Saccharomyces cerevisiae S288C: one gene and its partners. Changing the gene in region 3 together with the main gene of any one other region gives a genetic interaction. Each region holds a gene or a part of one and is shown on either strand. Other genes may lie near its edges.

Evidence for each region.
Region 1: mutations in ACE2 (region 3) and PRM7 together harm fitness more than expected from each alone (negative genetic interaction), as found in Saccharomyces cerevisiae (2 studies listed by BioGRID).
Region 2: mutations in ACE2 (region 3) and JJJ3 together harm fitness more than expected from each alone (negative genetic interaction), as found in Saccharomyces cerevisiae (2 studies listed by BioGRID).

The regions. Positions count from the first base shown.
Region 1 is NC_001136.10:379,810-386,047, reverse strand, and holds PRM7 (pheromone-regulated protein PRM7), read left to right. Parts: upstream 1-1,966; coding exon 1,967-4,063; downstream 4,064-6,238. Other genes in the region: BSC1 (Bsc1p), read left to right, coding at 461-1,447; peptide alpha-N-acetyltransferase complex A subunit NAT1, read left to right, coding at 4,610-6,238.
Region 2 is NC_001142.9:610,545-615,106, reverse strand, and holds JJJ3 (Jjj3p), read right to left. Parts: upstream 2,695-4,562; coding exon 2,176-2,694; downstream 1-2,175. Other genes in the region: YJR098C (uncharacterized protein), read left to right, coding at 1-1,921; YJR096W (aldo-keto reductase superfamily protein), read right to left, coding at 3,064-3,912; SFC1 (Sfc1p), read right to left, coding at 4,366-4,562.
Region 3 is NC_001144.5:399,134-408,426, reverse strand, and holds ACE2 (DNA-binding transcription factor ACE2), read left to right. Parts: upstream 1-1,604; coding exon 1,605-3,917; downstream 3,918-9,293. Other genes in the region: USB1 (phosphoric diester hydrolase), read left to right, coding at 272-1,144; low-affinity Zn(2+) transporter ZRT2, read left to right, coding at 4,365-5,633; snoRNA-binding rRNA-processing protein DIP2, read right to left, coding at 5,939-8,770; NEDD8 ligase DCN1, read right to left, coding at 8,994-9,293. UniProt on the Saccharomyces cerevisiae protein: Plays a role in regulating basal-level expression of CUP1. Activates EGT2 transcription in the absence of SWI5.

The sequences.
Region 1 (6,238 bases), on a different chromosome or scaffold from region 3:
TGACGATAAAACTGGCCCAGGCGAGATCAGATCAGCATTTGCACGTTGCATTTTACTTGTTTTCTTATTGGCAAAGAAAAAAAGCTCGGAACAAGCCACTAATACCCGATTCTATGCTTACAGAATAACCGATACTACTGGAAAGAAAAATTTTTCACATTAGTTCGCTGCATCTCCATGATCGTTTAATTATTTTATATTTAAGAGAAGCAAATCACTTCCTCCAATGTCATGATGGTCTTGGCAATTTTCCTCCCCTTGTTGCAAAAGTGTAAAATAGGTATCCACATCATTCATAAGAAAACTACTAATATCATTTTGCCTCCTATTTGCGGCCTTGCTCACAAATTCAGCGACTGCTGATAGAATTGATGACAAGGTGAGCCCTTCATTTGATCTAAGCAAAAGAGACGAAAGCGTTGCTATCAATGGTTGTCCAAATTTGGATTTCAACTGGCACATGAGCCAACAGAATATACTACATTATGATATGGATGTTACTTCCGTATCATGGGTCAAGGATAACACATACCAGATTACTATTCATGTCAAAGCCGTAAAAGATATCCCTTTGAAATATTTATGGTCTTTAAAGATTATTGGTGTCAACGGTCCCTCAAGCACCGTACAACTTTACGGCAAAAATGAGAAGACATACCTAATCAGTGATCCAACAGATTTTACATCCACTTTTCAGGTTTATGCTTACCCTTCTTCTGACGGTTGCACAGTTTGGATGCCAAATTTCCAAATCCAGTTCGAATATCTACAAGGTGATGCTGCTCAGTACTGGCAAACTTGGCAATGGGGGACAACCACCTTCGATTTATCGACAGGTTGTAACAATTATGACAATCAAGGCCACTCACAAACGGATTTCCCTGGATTTTATTGGACCTACCAGTGCAAGGGAAACAATGATGGCACTTGTACAAAAGCCTCGTCTTCATCCATTACTACTTCATCCATTACTACTTCATCCACTACTACTTCATCCACTACTACTTCATCCACTACTACTTCATCCTCTACTACTTCATCCTCTACTACTTCATCCTCTACTACTTCATCCTCTACTACTTCATCCTCTACTACTTCATCCTCTACTACTTCATCCTCTACTACTTCATCCTCTACTACTTCATCCTCTACTACTTCATCCTCTACTACTTCATCCTCTACTACTTCATCCTCTACGAAAACTTCCACTACTACGTCATCTACTGTGAAAAGCTCTTCCACTACATCCATTGATTTTACTACTTCCGTTGACTCACATACTTCATCAAGCGTAGCCGATATTTATCGTTCAAGAACATCTACTGATGTCACCACATTAGCAGCTTCAACTAGTCCTTTCAGCAGTTTCACTTCAAGTGACTCTAGTAGTTCAAGCGATGTAACCAGTTCAACCATTCAAACTACTTCTGTTGATCCAACCACTTAAGTAGTAAGTTCAAGTTCAGAAGACCCAACTAGTTCAAGCGCTGTGACTACTTCAGTTGACCCAACTACTTCAGTTGACCCAAATACTTCAGCTGATCCAACTACCTCGACCGTTCAAACTACTTCTGTTGATCCAACTACTTCAGTTGACCCAACTAGTTCTATAGTCAGTTCTACTTCAGTTGATCCAACTACTTCAGTTGACCCAACTACTTCAGCTGACCCAACTACCTCGACCGTTCAAACTACTTCAGCTGATCCAACTACTTCCGTAGTCAGTTCAAGTTCAGCTGATCTAAGTAGCTCTGTTATCAGTTCAAGTTCAGCAGACCCAACTAGTTCAAATGCTGTGACTACTTCAATTAACCCAACTACTCCAGCTGATTCAACTACTTCGGCCGTTCAAACTAGCCCAGCTGATCCAAGTAGCTCTGTTACCATTTCTACTTCCACAGACTCTACATCTTCAATTGAGTATACTACATCGGATGATCCACACGCCTCATCAAGTTTAGCGGCTATGTATCGTACAAGAAGCTCTGACGAGGTAACCACATCAACAGATCTAACTAGCTCAAGTGACGTTGCTACTTCAGTTGACCCAACTACTTCTGTTATCAGTTCAACTTCAGCAGACCCAACTACTTCAGCTGACTCAACTACCTCGACCGTTCAAACCACTTCAGCTGGTCCAAGTAACAACATCGGCAATTCCACTTTGGCCAATTCCACTACTTTTGCAGTTAGTTCCACTTCAATTGACCCAACTAGCTCGAGCGATGTGATTACTTCAACCGTTCAAACCACTTCAATTGAACCAACTACTTCTCTCGTCAGTTCAAACGATATTACTACTTCAACAAGTCTAAATATCTCTGTCGTGATTTCCACTTCCACGGACTCTACATCTTTAATTGAGTCTACTACAACAGTTGGTCCACATGCCTCATCAAGTGTTGCTGGTATGTATCGTACAAGAAGCTCTGACGAGGTAACCACATCAACAGATCCAACTAGCTCAAGTGACGTGGCTACTTCAGCAGATCCAACTAGTTCAAGCGCTGTGACTACTTTAGTTGACCCAACTACTTCTGTAGTCATTTCAACCTCAGTTGATCAAACTAGCTCAAGTGACGTTGCTACTTCAGTTGACCCAACCACTTCTGTTATCAGTTCAACTTCAGCAGACCCAACTACTTCAGCTGACTCAACTACCTCGACCGTTCAAACTACTTCAGTTGATCCAACTAGTTCTGTAGTCAGTTCCGCTCCAGTTGATCCGGCTAGTTCTGTTGTCAGTTTAACTTCATCTTACCCAACTAGCTCAAGCACTGTGACTATTTCTGCTAATTCAAACGGTTCAGCTACTTTAGCGGCTCAAACTACTTCAATTGATCCAGTTAGCTCCATCGTTAGTTCAAGCGGTGCAACTACTATCATCAGTAGCGCCTCAATTGATCCAGCTAGTTCTGTAGTTAGTTCAACTTCATCTGAACCAACCAGTTTTATTGTCAGTTCAACCTCAGTTTATTCAACCAGACCAAGTGGTCCAACTACTTCAACAGATCTAGCTACTTTCTCTGACACAATCATTCTAAGGGTTTCAACCACTTCAACCAGCCAAGATACCCAAACAGTATCATCTAGTCTAACTGATATGGTTTCCTCAACTGGTTCAGCTGATTTGAGCGTCTCATCCATTCAAAGATCTCAAGTAGACCCAAGCACTTTCGCTGTCTCGAATAGCCCAGTATATCCAACAGCTTCGACCGGATCAACTTCCACGGGCATTCCAATTGCGTCGGAAAGTCTAAGCCTTTCTAGACAGCAAGGAATTTCGGCCACTTCAAGTTCTTCGATTGTAACTTTAACCCCAGTTGATTCGGCTTCCTCGAGTAGGTCAAGCGCAACAAGTATAATCAAGCCTAATATGCCAGTTAGCAGCAATGATTCGAAGACCCAAAGTTCTGTTTCTGTAGTTGACGCATTCCAATCAACTAAATCTTCATATCCTAGCATAACTTCAGCAGACCCAACGACTCTAGCCAGTGAAAATGGTTTAGTCGGCTCATCTTCCTCAGCTCATCCAATCACATTAGATAGAACTTATGCATCAGCTCACGCAAGCGTCACCGATATTGTCAGTAGAGTTACTGACTCGACTCGCCATACAACACTAGTAACTTCAAACATTAACATTCAGTCTGAGGTTGGGAACCCAAATTACTCGGGTCCCAAAGACACTACCATCACCAAACAATCTGCATTTATGACTTCTCCTGCATCAACGTCTACTATAAGTAACGTTCAATCAACTGCTTCCGTAATGAATCACAGTATTGAGGACAATATTTCTGCAGCTGCCTCTCTAGAAAGTGTTTCTGGTACCTCAACTAAAGATTATTCTAGTCAATCCAGTGCCATTCATTATACAAATTCCTTCACGACCACCACTACTAACGCATTTATCACATCAAAGCATTCCATTGCTGCTGTATCAACAGGAGCCATTACATCATCTGCCAGCATTTCATTAATCATGGAAGGCAGCGCAAACATTGAAGCAGTAGGAAAATTGGTGTGGCTCGCTGCCGCTCTTCCTCTAGCTTTCATTTAGTCATTCTACCATCTTTCATGTCCCTACGCCATTCTCGTTCGTATACCATATAAACCAATTATAGATTTTACATAGAATAATAGTTAAATTTGATTATAGAATATCTTCGGATTCAATAAAAAATTATTATTATCAGACTCTTTCTGTCCACTCCTTGAAGTATGCAAAGTGCTTCGAGAACGCCATGACATTCGACAATTCAAAATTGAGAGAGGACTGCTAAGGAAACTCTTTGAGTTGATTATATAATCGCTATTTAATCTTTTAAAGGGGGAATACTGCTAAATTTTCATTATTGTACAACTGGAGACATGATAGGCCTGAAATGTGCCACCAAATTGCATGACCTTGCTAATGAGGTCGCTGGGTTGCGTATGCACTTTTTACCCTGCTCCGCGTCGAAACAGAACATAATACAGAGTAAAGAGGAAAGAGCGAAAATGAAAAAGTTTCTACACTCAAAAGTCAAACCTTTTTAAAAAGTGATGTTCAGATTCCTTGTTTAAGACAAATACCATTGAGGAAGGCGATTGACCCTAACGAAGTATGTCTAGGAAAAGAAGTACTAAGCCCAAGCCAGCAGCTAAAATAGCTTTGAAAAAAGAAAATGACCAGTTCCTCGAGGCATTGAAACTATACGAAGGGAAGCAATACAAAAAATCTCTCAAGCTGCTAGACGCAATTTTGAAAAAAGACGGTAGTCACGTTGATTCCTTGGCTTTAAAGGGTCTTGATTTATATTCTGTAGGTGAGAAAGATGACGCTGCTTCCTACGTGGCTAATGCCATCAGAAAAATTGAAGGCGCTTCAGCATCACCAATCTGCTGTCATGTATTAGGTATCTACATGAGAAACACCAAAGAGTACAAAGAATCTATTAAATGGTTCACGGCAGCTTTGAACAATGGGTCCACTAACAAGCAAATATATAGAGACTTAGCAACTTTGCAATCACAAATTGGCGATTTCAAAAATGCTTTAGTGTCCAGGAAAAAATATTGGGAAGCATTCCTTGGTTACCGTGCCAACTGGACATCATTGGCTGTGGCACAAGATGTGAACGGTGAGAGGCAACAAGCTATTAACACTTTATCTCAGTTTGAAAAACTCGCTGAGGGAAAAATATCTGATTCCGAGAAATATGAACACAGCGAGTGTTTAATGTACAAAAACGACATTATGTATAAAGCTGCCAGTGATAACCAAGACAAGTTACAAAATGTATTGAAACATTTGAATGATATCGAGCCATGCGTCTTTGATAAATTTGGTTTATTAGAGAGAAAAGCAACTATTTACATGAAATTGGGTCAATTGAAAGACGCGTCCATTGTTTATAGAACTCTGATCAAGAGAAATCCAGATAATTTTAAGTACTACAAATTACTGGAAGTATCCTTGGGAATCCAAGGTGACAATAAATTGAAGAAGGCTTTGTATGGAAAACTTGAACAATTTTATCCAAGATGCGAACCACCCAAATTTATTCCATTAACTTTCCTTCAAGACAAAGAAGAGCTCAGCAAAAAATTGAGAGAATATGTTTTGCCTCAATTGGAGCGCGGTGTTCCAGCAACTTTTTCCAACGTGAAACCCCTTTACCAAAGAAGGAAGTCCAAGGTTTCACCACTATTGGAGAAAATTGTCCTTGATTATTTGTCCGGATTAGATCCTACGCAGGATCCAATTCCTTTTATTTGGACCAATTATTACTTGTCTCAACATTTCCTTTTCCTTAAGGATTTTCCGAAAGCCCAAGAATATATTGATGCTGCCCTTGACCACACCCCAACTTTAGTTGAGTTTTACATCCTCAAGGCACGTATCCTGAAGCACTTAGGCCTAATGGACACAGCGGCTGGAATTTTGGAGGAAGGTAGGCAACTTGATTTGCAGGATAGATTTATCAACTGTAAAACGGTTAAGTACTTTTTAAGGGCTAACAATATCGACAAGGCGGTGGAAGTCGCGTCCCTTTTCACCAAAAACGATGATTCTGTTAATGGTATTAAGGACTTACACCTTGTGGAAGCTTCTTGGTTCATCGTAGAACAGGCAGAAGCCTATTATAGACTATACCTGGATAGAAAAAAGAAATTAGACGATTTAGCATCGCTAAAAAAAGAGGTTGAAAGTGATAAAAGCGAACAAATTGCGAATGATATCAAAGAAAAC
Region 2 (4,562 bases), on a different chromosome or scaffold from region 3:
CAAGCAATGTCTTTCTGATTCAAGTGATAGTGGTAGTGATGTAAGCTTTTTTTCCGTAAATGAAAGCGAAGGTGAATTGGATACAATGGAGAAAGTGGATACCTTGATTGGAGGTGCAAGAGTTATAAGCAATAAAGTAGAAAAAGACAGCGATAGTGAACAAAGGGGAAGAAAGAAGGAAACAACTGGGCCCAATAACTATCATAATTTAGAAGAGAAGCAAGCGAGTGCCATTTCTCTTGACGCTGATGATGAAGATCTCGATGAAATTATTTCTTATTCGCATGACGGGAACTATGACAGCTCTCATAAAACTTTCTCCTTTTCCTTACCATTTGGTAATACAAATTTCCGATCAAGTTCACCATTAGCCATAATTAAAACTGTGCTTCCCAAGACTCCAGATGAGTTCATCAAAAAGAATCTAAGAAAGAATGAGATCAAGCAAAAACTGAAAAAATCAACCTCCATTTCTTCCTTGGAAGAGATAGAATTATTTAAATACGAAAGGGGCATTGATAATTCAAGGTTAAGGGCTGTTAAAGAATCTTTGGAAATGGATGCCTTGAAGAACTCCATTAAGCAAATAACAGCAGACCCATTCGACAAAACTCATGACGGATATTACCGTTCGCGTTTAGAATCTATATGGAATGAATTGGAAGGAGATGTCGTTATAATGGGTGGATATCGAGGTAGTGTGCTAAGGGATGCTACTACTCATAAGCGAATTTGGATCCCATTAAAGGCAGGTTTGAATATGACGAAAGTCGATTTATTGATCGGACCTAATGACGAAGATGAACTTAAAACTCAGAAGGAGATTGTCCCTGATGGAATGCTAACACATATAGGGCCTGTTGATATCTCTAAGAGGTTGATAAAGAGGCTAGACGCAAATCCTAATTTAAATGTTCAGCAGTTTGGCTATGATTGGAGATTATCCTTGGACATATCTGCCAAGCATTTAACGACTAAACTAGAGGAAATTTACAATAAGCAAAAAAATAAGAAGGGAATATACATCATTGCCCATTCAATGGGCGGATTGGTCGCACATAAAGTGTTGCAAGACTGTACTCATTTGATAAGAGGTATTATTTACGTGGGTTCCCCAAGCCAATGTCCAAATATTTTAGGTCCTATTAGGTTTGGAGATGATGTGATGTGGAATAAAACTATTTTCACTAAAGAAACCAACTTTTTTATGAGAAGTAGTTTCTATTTTCTACCGTTAGATGGTAGATGTTTTGTTGACAAAATTACCTTAGAGAGGTATGATTTCGATTTTTTTGATACAGATGTTTGGAAAACCCTTGGCTTGTCACCTCTCGTCAATGAGAAAAGAGAGGAATCAGCTCACGAAAAATCAAAATTATTACCAAGGAAAACGAAATCAGCGCTTTCGCTTAAAGCTACCCTAAACGCAACTACCAAGTTTGTCCTAAATGCACCTGTTGTTAGGAATGTAGCCGGCAATAATAAACAGGTACCAAGGGATGTGCCTTTCGATGAAGTCTTCCATACATCTTATGAAGATAGCTGTGAATATTTAGCGAGAACTTTAAAACGTACAAAGAATTATTTGGATAGCTTAGATTACGACCCGAACAAAGAATATCCTCCATTGGCCATGGTTTACGGTAACAAGGTTCCCACTGTTAGAGGTGCTAAAGTGAACGGTATACAAGATATAAAAGATGGGAATTATGAAGATTTTTACTATGGTCCGGGCGACGGTGTTGTTCACCATAAATGGTTATTGCCTGAACAGAGAGGCTTTCCAGTTGTTTGTAAAATCGCCAGTTCTTCAGGTCATGTTAGCTTAATGACGGATTTGAAATCAATGGCAAAAGCATTCATATCTATCGTCGACAGCGAAAAAGAAGGAAGAAGATCTCGAACACGAACTTCTTCATGAAAGGCTTTTTATTCCTTTGTTTACTATTCATATCTGCATTTTTCTTTTTACCAAAATTCCGCATGTCAAAAAAAATCTGGCAACGCACCGCGAATAAAAATAAATAATATTTTTTTATCTTTAGTTGCCTAAATACTATTTATTTCGTCAATTTTACAACCTCTTTTATATACACCATTCGATTTCCCACGAAGTAAAATAATAATTCTATAAACAGATTTATCTGATATGCTCAATTTCCCCTCCCATTTTCATTATTGTCCTTCTTGCTCTTCCTCGATGTCAAAATTAACCTTCAGCCATAAGCTGCATGCGCTACATTGGGTTAATAATTGATAACCAGAATGACTCCGTTCCATAGCGTCTACATTATCAATGCATTCATCTAACAAACTCTCACTAAAATGAAAACCACCAACAAATTGACAGCGAGGACAATTCATCATAAACTCCAGCTTATCTTCATCAAATGAGAAATCGTCTAAGGAAAATTCATCCAGCCCATCACCACAATTATGAAATCCTTGGCGTTTATAGTTTTCAAGGATCAACCTATCATATTCGCGACGAGTTTTTATATTCGATAGTATTTTATAAGCATCTTGAATCTTATTGATTGTGACGTTGCTAACCGTATCATGTATGCTTTTAGAAAGTTTATCGGGGTGCGTATTTAGTAACCGATTCCTATATGCCTTTTTGATTTCATCTTGTGTTGCATCCGATGGAATTCTTAAAATTTCGTAGTGTGTTAACGAATTCACCAATGACATTTTCGCTAAATTTTCACACCAAAAGAAAGATTAAATTGGAGATAAATACAATACAAAGAGCGTGGTAAATTTCTTAGTTGATTGCGCTTATCTTTTGGCACCGATAGTGGTTTTTACAATGGTAAGACTAGTAACGTCACATCGAAGTCATCGCATCCATTTACAATTTTTCTGAAAATTTCCATCTCCAGTTACCCGCTCATAAATCTTCAAGAAAAGTCAATGATTTCCTTTTCTACCTCTAGCAGCTCCTTTAATCTTTGATTTAGATCGAAAGTCCTGAAAAAGCTACATGTAATATTAATACTTTGTGAAACGTAAACTAATTATATGTTCTATATACGTTATTCTACGGTTCGCATTTTCTTTTTATGGCGCGTCTGTGCATTCCCAATCGGTAGGCTCATAAGCATCAGGATGATCAAGAAATTTCATCTGTTCGTCTGACAGTTCAAAGTTGTAGGCTGCAAGGTTACCTTCTAACCTCTTCACAGTTTTAGTCTTCGGTAGTGGTAAATAACCGTGTTGTAAAGACCAACGAATCAAAACTTGACCTGGATTACGGTCCACCTCTTTGCAAACTTTTAATAAATCTGGATTAGTCATTTTGTAGCCGTGACACAATGGGGCAAAGGCTTCGACGACGAGACCTTTAGATTTACAGTAATCTGCTAATTCTTGTCTCATAATCCAAGGTGATATCTCGATTTGGTTGACCACTGGCTTGTGCTTCAGTTCTGGCCAGTTCAAAAGTTCATCAATGTGCTTTTTCCCATAGTTGGAAACCCCTATAGACTTAACCAATCCTTCATCAACCGCTTCTTGCATGGCGCGCCAAGTTTCCAACCTTAATTTAGAACCTTCCAGTGGCGAATGAATCAAAAGAAGATCGATGTATTGCAAGCCCGAGACTTCATTCAAACATTGCCGAATGGCAGCTTTAGCTCTTTTATATCCGTTTTGCGAATTCCATAATTTAGTAGTGTAGAAGATTTCCTCACGTTTATGGTTCCCTGGATCTTCGTTCAACCATTTAATGATACCATCGCCAACTTCCTTCTCATTACCATAAAGAACAGCAGTATCGAAATGACGGTAGCCGCACTTGACACCTTCATACACAATTTCGGCTGTTTGCGATCTTGGAATATCGTAGGTTCCCAAAGCAATGCTTGGGATTTTGAAGCCGTTTGAAAGTTTGTAAAACTTAGGAACCATGTTGTTGAGGTGAATTTTTTTTCTTCCTTCGGGCTAGGTATGCTAAGTTAATTACTAAAGTAAGATCAGTTGCTTATGCTCTTATATATTGGAGGTTGCGACAAGGGATGAAAGAAAGAGACACCTCCCCTCATATCGACACGACGGAATATGTATGATAACTACTTCATTGTTCTTTTCAGCACATTATTACTATTTACGAAAAAAGGGAGTAGGGAAAAATGGCGCGCTTATGGAGCCTCAAATAAGGACAAAAAAGTCAAGTAATGAATATCAAATTGAAATGAGTATGCTTACATAGATTTATTTGGTTTGTTTTCATTTTGTTTTTGTTTCTTATGTTGCTGCTTTATTTTGTGTAGGTAATAAGGAAGAATAGGGCGATTAATAATTGATCTTCTAGCCTATTTCTATTTTTTCTTTATTTCATTTTGTAGTCCCATTGTTCATCATCTACTTTAATGGCTTTGGCTTTGGTGTGTCATTCTTCTTGAATATACCCAAATTTTCTAAATGCTCCCTTACATATTCATAAACGGTAAAGGTGACAGCCTGACCTGGAGCCACCCTCATCACTCTTGGGGTAATACCCTTGTACAAAGCTCTAAAACCTTCTTCTTTCAGTAGTTGAGCACCAATGGTTATGATTT
Region 3 (9,293 bases):
GTGCGTATCTATGTGTGTGTATTCTATAAGAGTACAAAAAAAAACTGTATATTGTTGTCCTAATTCTATAACTTTTCCATTTGGCTTATCCTTACTTACAGCCACAGAGCTTCTATTCTGTCTCTTCGAGATTTAACCGGCTGGGCCGACAAGAAAAACGGTAGAGCACCATGTGAATATTATACCATAAAGAACAAAGAACAAGAGAACGATCTGTTGGTGGTGTTCTAAAGTGAAGGAGGTTACCAATCGCTTAGAAGAAGACTGGCCTATGGAATTCATATCTGCAGACTATTCTAGCAGTGACGGTAGTGATACCGAGAGCGAAAGTAGTAACAAAAGTGAGGTCCAAATCGAATACACGGAGAAAACTTGCATACAGAAAGCCGATTCCACTGATTTACCTGCAATACCGGATTCAATTATATTGAAGTACCACATCCCTCCGAATTTACAAAAGTACGAGCACCAGGATATGAATATGAGTCGATTTTGGCGTTCGTTCACATATTTTGAGTGGCGTCCGACTCCAGCGATTCACCGACAACTTCAGAAAATCATATGTAAATATAAAGAAACATTTATGAAACAGGAATACACTAATCCGTATCAACTGGTGGATTTTGACCCGTTGTTCATCTCACACTTGGGAGCCCCCAAACCTTTACACGTTTCCTTAACTCGATCGTTGTTGTTTGAAACTGAAGAACAAAGACATGTTTTCATTCAAGAAATGCGTAATGGTTTACGAAATAATGAAATAACCCCTTTTAAACTTCAAATCTGCTCATATCCGAAGTTATATATATCAGAACGAGCCAACACCTTGTACCTCGGTCTCCCTGTCTCAGAATGTCCCAATAAGGCACAAATTTCTCCTTTCAAAACGATAATAGCTGAGGCACTTCAGAAATCAGGCATTTCAAACTATCAGGATTTAATTGTAAGTAGGCAAAATTTACATGTTTCAATTGCCATCGCTAGCAACCCTTCAAAAGCCACATTAAAACGTTATCAACAATTAAACGAGACGATGGGGGCGCTTTTACTACTCAATAATGACTTTGCATACAAACTAGAGTTCTTAGTTAACTCTATCTATTGTGATGAAAACCGTCACTCCATTAGAATCCCTTTTAACTAATAGTGTTATAGGAATAGCCGCCCAAAAATACCGGGGCACTGAGAGCGGCTCGTCAGATAGGTGAAGGTTGTCATAATATACGATATATATCTCAAAACGGCAAAATGTAAACATTGGCACTTTGGGAAAATTTCAGGACACTTTTGGTTTACAGGTAAAGGATAAGGATGCTTGTAGCTAGTAAATCAACTCCAGAAAGCATTTAGCCATTAACGGGCAAATATTAAGGAGGGAGTACTGTTTGTTTACTCGCAATATTTCTGTCCCTTTTCTTTCATTAAGGGTTTTATAGTACACATAAACTTATAACAACCTCTCTCGGCATTGTACCTAGCAAACAAAAGCTACGTTGCAGGGAGACTCAAGCAACAGTTAAAGTGCTAGAAGAAAAAAATACAAGGCATAAATTCAAGAAATAACTAAAGAAATCTATAGGACCAAAAACGGTGTTAATACAATCATGGATAACGTTGTAGATCCGTGGTATATAAATCCCTCAGGCTTCGCGAAAGACACTCAAGATGAGGAGTATGTTCAACATCATGATAATGTCAATCCTACCATACCCCCACCCGACAATTATATTTTGAATAATGAAAACGATGATGGCCTCGATAACTTGTTAGGTATGGACTACTATAACATCGATGACCTGTTGACTCAAGAGTTAAGAGATCTGGATATTCCTTTAGTGCCTTCTCCTAAGACGGGCGATGGTTCTTCTGATAAAAAGAATATTGATAGAACTTGGAACCTTGGTGATGAAAACAACAAAGTCTCCCACTATAGCAAAAAATCAATGTCCTCACACAAGAGAGGTCTAAGTGGCACAGCGATATTTGGATTTCTCGGCCATAATAAGACATTGAGTATTTCCAGTTTACAGCAATCCATTCTAAATATGTCTAAAGATCCGCAACCCATGGAACTCATAAATGAATTGGGTAATCATAATACGGTAAAAAATAACAATGATGACTTTGACCATATAAGGGAAAATGATGGTGAAAATAGCTATTTGAGCCAAGTTTTGTTGAAACAGCAGGAGGAGTTAAGAATTGCTCTTGAAAAACAAAAGGAAGTGAACGAAAAATTGGAGAAGCAGTTGAGAGACAATCAAATACAGCAAGAAAAGTTGCGTAAAGTATTAGAAGAGCAAGAAGAGGTGGCGCAGAAGTTGGTTTCTGGGGCTACAAATTCTAATTCCAAACCTGGATCTCCAGTAATACTAAAGACACCTGCCATGCAAAACGGTAGAATGAAAGATAATGCTATAATCGTCACAACGAACTCTGCAAATGGCGGATATCAATTTCCTCCTCCGACGTTAATATCGCCTCGGATGTCAAATACTTCAATAAATGGTTCACCATCCAGGAAATACCATAGGCAACGATATCCAAATAAAAGCCCAGAAAGTAATGGATTGAACCTTTTTTCCTCTAACAGTGGTTATTTGAGAGATTCTGAACTGCTTTCATTTTCTCCACAAAATTATAATTTAAACTTGGACGGCTTGACTTATAATGACCATAATAACACCAGTGATAAAAACAATAATGATAAAAAAAATAGTACTGGTGATAACATATTCCGTCTGTTCGAAAAGACTTCCCCGGGTGGGCTAAGTATCTCTCCAAGGATAAATGGAAATAGTTTGAGATCGCCCTTCCTCGTCGGCACAGATAAAAGCAGGGATGATCGATATGCTGCTGGCACGTTCACGCCTAGAACACAGTTGTCACCTATCCACAAGAAAAGGGAATCCGTAGTTTCCACGGTCTCGACAATATCACAACTGCAGGATGACACTGAACCCATCCACATGCGAAATACCCAGAACCCAACATTAAGAAATGCAAACGCTTTAGCGTCATCAAGTGTACTACCTCCTATTCCTGGTTCCAGCAATAACACTCCAATTAAGAATTCTTTGCCACAAAAACATGTATTTCAACATACTCCCGTCAAAGCTCCACCAAAGAACGGAAGTAACCTAGCTCCGCTTCTAAATGCACCGGATTTAACAGATCATCAGTTAGAAATTAAGACACCCATACGAAATAACAGTCACTGTGAAGTGGAAAGCTATCCGCAAGTACCACCTGTCACACATGATATTCACAAAAGCCCCACTTTGCATAGTACGTCTCCTTTACCAGATGAAATAATACCTAGGACTACGCCAATGAAAATAACCAAGAAACCAACTACTCTGCCTCCGGGTACCATTGACCAGTACGTCAAGGAACTACCCGACAAACTATTCGAGTGCTTATACCCTAACTGTAACAAAGTATTCAAGCGTAGATACAACATAAGGTCGCATATTCAGACACATTTGCAAGATAGACCGTATTCATGCGACTTTCCCGGTTGCACCAAGGCGTTTGTTCGCAATCATGATTTAATAAGACACAAAATCTCCCATAATGCCAAGAAATACATCTGCCCATGCGGAAAGAGATTTAATAGGGAGGATGCTCTAATGGTGCATAGAAGTCGGATGATTTGCACCGGCGGTAAGAAATTAGAACATTCGATCAACAAGAAACTTACATCTCCCAAAAAAAGCCTGCTTGACAGCCCGCATGACACAAGTCCCGTAAAAGAAACTATCGCCCGGGATAAAGATGGGAGCGTCCTAATGAAAATGGAGGAACAGCTGCGAGATGATATGCGCAAACATGGATTACTGGATCCACCCCCATCCACAGCAGCGCACGAGCAAAACTCGAACCGCACCCTTTCAAACGAAACTGATGCTCTCTGACGAACATTTATCTATGCATGATATTAACATAATAAATAATAGTAACAATAATATAATACATTTATTTCTTTACGATTTACGTACACTGTAGTCTTAAGGGCCAAAAAAGGCAATAGTCATCGTTTATAGGGACATAACCCTAAAGGTTATATGCGACTCCTTCTCGAAAATGAAAATTTTTCACAACCTTTAGGGTACATTGCCCTTTAACTACTACAAACCAGCTTCACACATCCTTTGGTAAAACACAGTGTGACGATTTTAAATGACGCAACCTTTTGGGAGACACGATCTAAAACCCACTATATATGATGATACTGTTTATTGAATCATACACCCTGTTGGTTAGACCGGAAGAAAGCTAAAGTTGATCTCCGAAAATACAACGGTGCATCAACCAAAGAAAACATTGCAGGCGTTTCCAAGTGACACTGCATATTCGAAAGTATGGTTGATCTTATAGCGAGGGATGACTCCGTAGATACTTGCCAAGCTTCTAACGGCTACAATGGGCACGCAGGTCTTAGAATTCTGGCAGTATTCATTATACTGATATCGTCAGGATTGGGAGTTTATTTCCCAATTTTGTCATCACGGTATTCGTTTATAAGGCTACCAAATTGGTGCTTTTTCATAGCGAAGTTCTTCGGTTCTGGTGTCATTGTTGCCACAGCGTTCGTTCATCTTCTACAGCCCGCAGCCGAAGCTCTGGGAGATGAATGTCTTGGTGGCACATTTGCCGAATATCCATGGGCTTTTGGGATCTGTTTAATGTCGCTTTTCTTACTTTTCTTCACTGAAATCATCACGCATTATTTTGTAGCGAAAACGCTGGGACACGATCATGGGGACCATGGGGAAGTTACCAGTATTGATGTTGATGCTCCCAGTTCGGGATTTGTCATCAGAAATATGGACTCGGATCCTGTATCTTTCAATAACGAAGCTGCCTACTCCATCCATAATGACAAAACTCCGTACACTACTAGAAATGAAGAGATTGTCGCTACTCCTATAAAGGAAAAAGAACCCGGCTCAAATGTTACTAATTATGATCTGGAACCGGGAAAAACAGAGTCACTAGCTAATGAACTAGTTCCAACCAGTTCCCATGCGACAAATCTCGCTTCTGTACCTGGAAAAGATCATTATTCTCACGAAAATGACCATCAAGATGTCTCCCAGTTGGCCACACGTATCGAGGAGGAAGATAAAGAGCAGTATCTCAATCAGATACTAGCTGTTTTTATTCTAGAATTTGGCATCATCTTTCACTCTGTATTTGTGGGTCTTTCGCTATCTGTCGCGGGTGAAGAATTCGAAACCTTATTTATCGTTTTAACTTTCCACCAAATGTTCGAAGGTTTGGGTCTAGGCACAAGAGTTGCCGAAACGAATTGGCCAGAAAGTAAGAAGTACATGCCTTGGTTAATGGGATTAGCCTTCACTTTAACGTCACCCATAGCAGTCGCGGTAGGTATTGGTGTCAGACACTCTTGGATACCTGGCTCTAGAAGAGCATTAATTGCTAATGGTGTTTTTGACTCGATATCATCAGGAATTCTTATTTATACTGGACTAGTCGAATTAATGGCTCATGAATTCTTATACTCTAATCAATTCAAAGGACCTGATGGCCTCAAAAAAATGCTTAGTGCATATCTCATCATGTGTTGTGGAGCTGCTTTAATGGCTCTTCTAGGGAAATGGGCATAGTATCTCACGTATATTTTGTTAGATTAGATAGTTATTCATTATCAAAAAAAAAAAAATGCATGACCTATAATTTTACAACTGCTCTGCAGAGACGAGAGACATCTCGCAAAAAACAGCATATGTCAGCGACCAATAAGTATAAAAAACACATATTCCGTTATTTGGATATGCCCATTATTACCGAAGGGCAATCGGAATGACAATTTTTATGATTGGAATTGTATAATATACAGATAATTTAATCTATCCTTTTGAAGTGTGAAAAGGGCAGAGTAATGCCGGTATTATGTAGGATAATAGTTTTATTATATAACGGTCCCGAAAACTCTCTTCCTTGCACTATTACTCTCTTTCTCCTGTTGGTCATATTCGTCAACGAATTCGTAGTTATGCCTTAGATTCCATTGTTGCTTGACGAATTTCAACCCTTGAACATTAAAGCCTAGATCATCCTCGGTAGATTTTAATGCACTTCTTAATTCAGTCTTTACTCTATTTATTTGCAATTTCAATTCTTCATTTTTCTGAGAAACCAATTCTTTATGATTAAATTTGATAATGAAAAATAAATTCTTGCAAATTAATGGTAAGTGAGAGTGCAGCAAAGTTTTGTTTTGCATAACGGTATCAATAAATTTTAAAAATTTGAGGACATATGAGAATGGCATAACCATCAGTGCATCTTCTAACTGAGACATTCTTATTCTTAACAGGGTATCCATAATATATTGCTCAGGAGTTTTATTCACAGCAATTAGAACAGCGTTACCCTGTGGTTTTATTGGCGCTTCACCCAACTTCTTTCTTTGCCATAGCTTCATATCTCTGTTATATGCCTCTAAACCTTCAATCTCAGCAATTCCTAAATCTAGCGCCTCCATAAGTCTTTCACCAGCCTTTAACGATTCTAAAGTCTGTTTATGAACACCGGATGCTTCATCTTCAACGCCTTCACCCGATGCATCAGCTTTAAATGCATCATCACCGTTTCCTTCTTCCAAAGAAGTTAGCAATGTATCCTCGTACTGTTCTTCAAGTTCTTTCTCCTTTTCCTCTTCTAAAAATACCTGGTCCTCGGTTTCTTCCCAGATTCTTATACTGTGATCATGGGATGAAGAAACAACAAAGCCGCCATCAGTAGCAACCGCCAAAGCCCAAACTTCGCTCTGATGAGCGTATAGTTTTTGAATGCATTCAAATTTCTCGCCATCCCAATATTTCACCACTGCGTCTTTAGAACAACTAAAGAAGTTGTGAGACTGTGGTAAGAATTTAACGTTCATAATCGAATCCTGATGGGCAAATAAAGACTTGTGACAGTCACCAAAATCTAAACCCCAAATCTTGATATTTTTGTCTGCGGAAGACGTAATAATCATCTTAGAATCAAATGAAATATCGATAGATAGTACAGGTAATTTGTGCCCATATAAACTTAGGTAAAACTTCATTGAGTCCAAAAAGAATACCTTAACAGTATTATCCAGCAACGAGATGGCTAGATATCTATCGTCAGGAGAAACCCGTACACATAAAATGTCGTCAGTTAATTCCAAAGTTGTATCATGGTGCAGTTTTAAAACAGGCAGGAATTTGTTCTTGGTACCTGGCACTAGGCTATTTTCAACTTTGAAATCCCAAAACTTGACAGTTTTATCGGCAGATCCGGTCACTAATCGTTTACCATCTGAGGTCAGATCTAGCGACCAAATTGCCGCATCATGTGCATCTTCAATGGTATCCAAAAGACTTGATGATGCTAGATCAAAGAGCTGTAACTCCCCGTTTCTTGTACCCAGTATGACTAGTAGCCCACCTGGCAAAAACTTACAAGTTAATGCATACCCACATTCGAAAGTTCTGATACATTTATGTGTTTTGATATTCCATATTTTCAATGAACCATTGGATGCTGTGGCAAGTAATTTGTTATCATCACTGATGTCAATACTACGCACATCCGTTCTTTGCCCTTGCAATTCAATAGTATGTGTCTTGAGAGGAGCAGGGCTTGTTGGGTCTCTTTTTTCATATGGAATGGAATAATACTCTATGGTATTACTCGATGTAGTTAATACCAACTCAAGTTTGGAACTTGAGACCGTTGTCCATGATGCAGATTTTATTTTATACAATGATCTTATGGTTTGAAAAGGATGCAATATAAAGGAGGAGTAGGATTCTTTAATAGATTTTGCAATTTCTTCTTCTGTCAACCCCTTTTCTTTTAGCCTCTTCTCTCTTTTCTTTAAACCTCTTGCTATTTCTTCTTCTTTTCTAATTCTGAAAGTCTCGATGGTTTTATCAGCATTTTGGATGTAAAAAAAAGAGGTTTTGTCAGACGAATTTGTTATGAACTCAATCTTTAACCCACGTTGCTTACTTTGCTTTTCGAAAATACCCATCTCTGTTAGTTTCCCCCCCATTTTGTCATTTTCTATATCCAGTTTCCAAATTTTTACTTGACTATCAGTACCAGTTGTGATCAGTAAATCATCCTTCACTGCAAGGCCCCAACACTCTCCAGTATGCGCAATATGTGTCTCTATACATTGATGTGTTTTTAGGTCCCATAGCTTGATCATTCCATCTTTGGAGGTGCTGATCAGCCAATCTTCTCCTTGACACCAAAAGCCAGTAATGGAATCCTTGTGTGATCTAAGTTTATAAAGACCAACTTCTCCAACAAGATCCCATACAATGATATTGGAGTCCTTGGAACCAGAAATTAATCTTGTGCCAGTCCCATCAAATTGTAATAATGTTATAGCTGCTTTGTGACCGTTAAAATTCAAAAGCACAGTCTTAGACATCAAATCCCAAACTTTAATGACACCATCTGCGTAACCGACAGCTAATAAATCCGTATCTTTATGAGCCTCCAAATATGTACACTCGGCTGGCTTGGCGCCTCTAGCATCAGATGCGCCTGGAGGTAAGCCATCGGATAATTTACTGACCAAATCCCCGGTCTTAATATCCCATATATTAACGTCCTCGAGAGCACTCGTAATCAATTGTCCTGGTCCACTACCATTACTATTTCCGGATGACGCAGGTATCCAAACACAATTGGCATTGGAGGCTATTACACCAAAAGCAGCTGCTTGCTCAAAACGTTGGTATGATTTGACCATAATAGCTCTTATTCCAGTTTCTCTGGTCCTTCTAGTGGCTACTCTGATATACGTACGACCTTATACAATATCTACATCTATATTATGAGGGAACTGAAAATTTCTGAAAAATTTTCCACTGCTCATCGCGTTTTTTATTTCCGCCTTATTCCCATCTATCTTAGAAGGGTAACGTATTCCATGCAATATTAAACAGCATACCCTTAAGTATATGAAAGGATGTTTATTGCTGATCCTGTAAGCACTCATAGAACTCATCGATAATAAATGGCCAGGCTGCAGTTTCGTCGTAATCGCTTATTATTTTCTGAATAGTGGGGTATCGTTTGAAAAAGAGGAGCAGCATACGCCAGGTGTCTTTACTTATAGTGGTTTTCCCCTCATCGCGAAGGAAACGGAACCATGCCTCAAGCAAATCTGGTTCCATACGCACTGGGTACTCTGGTTGGAAAAATAGCTTCCAATACTGGATGCCTTCGTCTGTATCTATATCCTTTCGATTTGGGTCCAGAATCAAATTGAA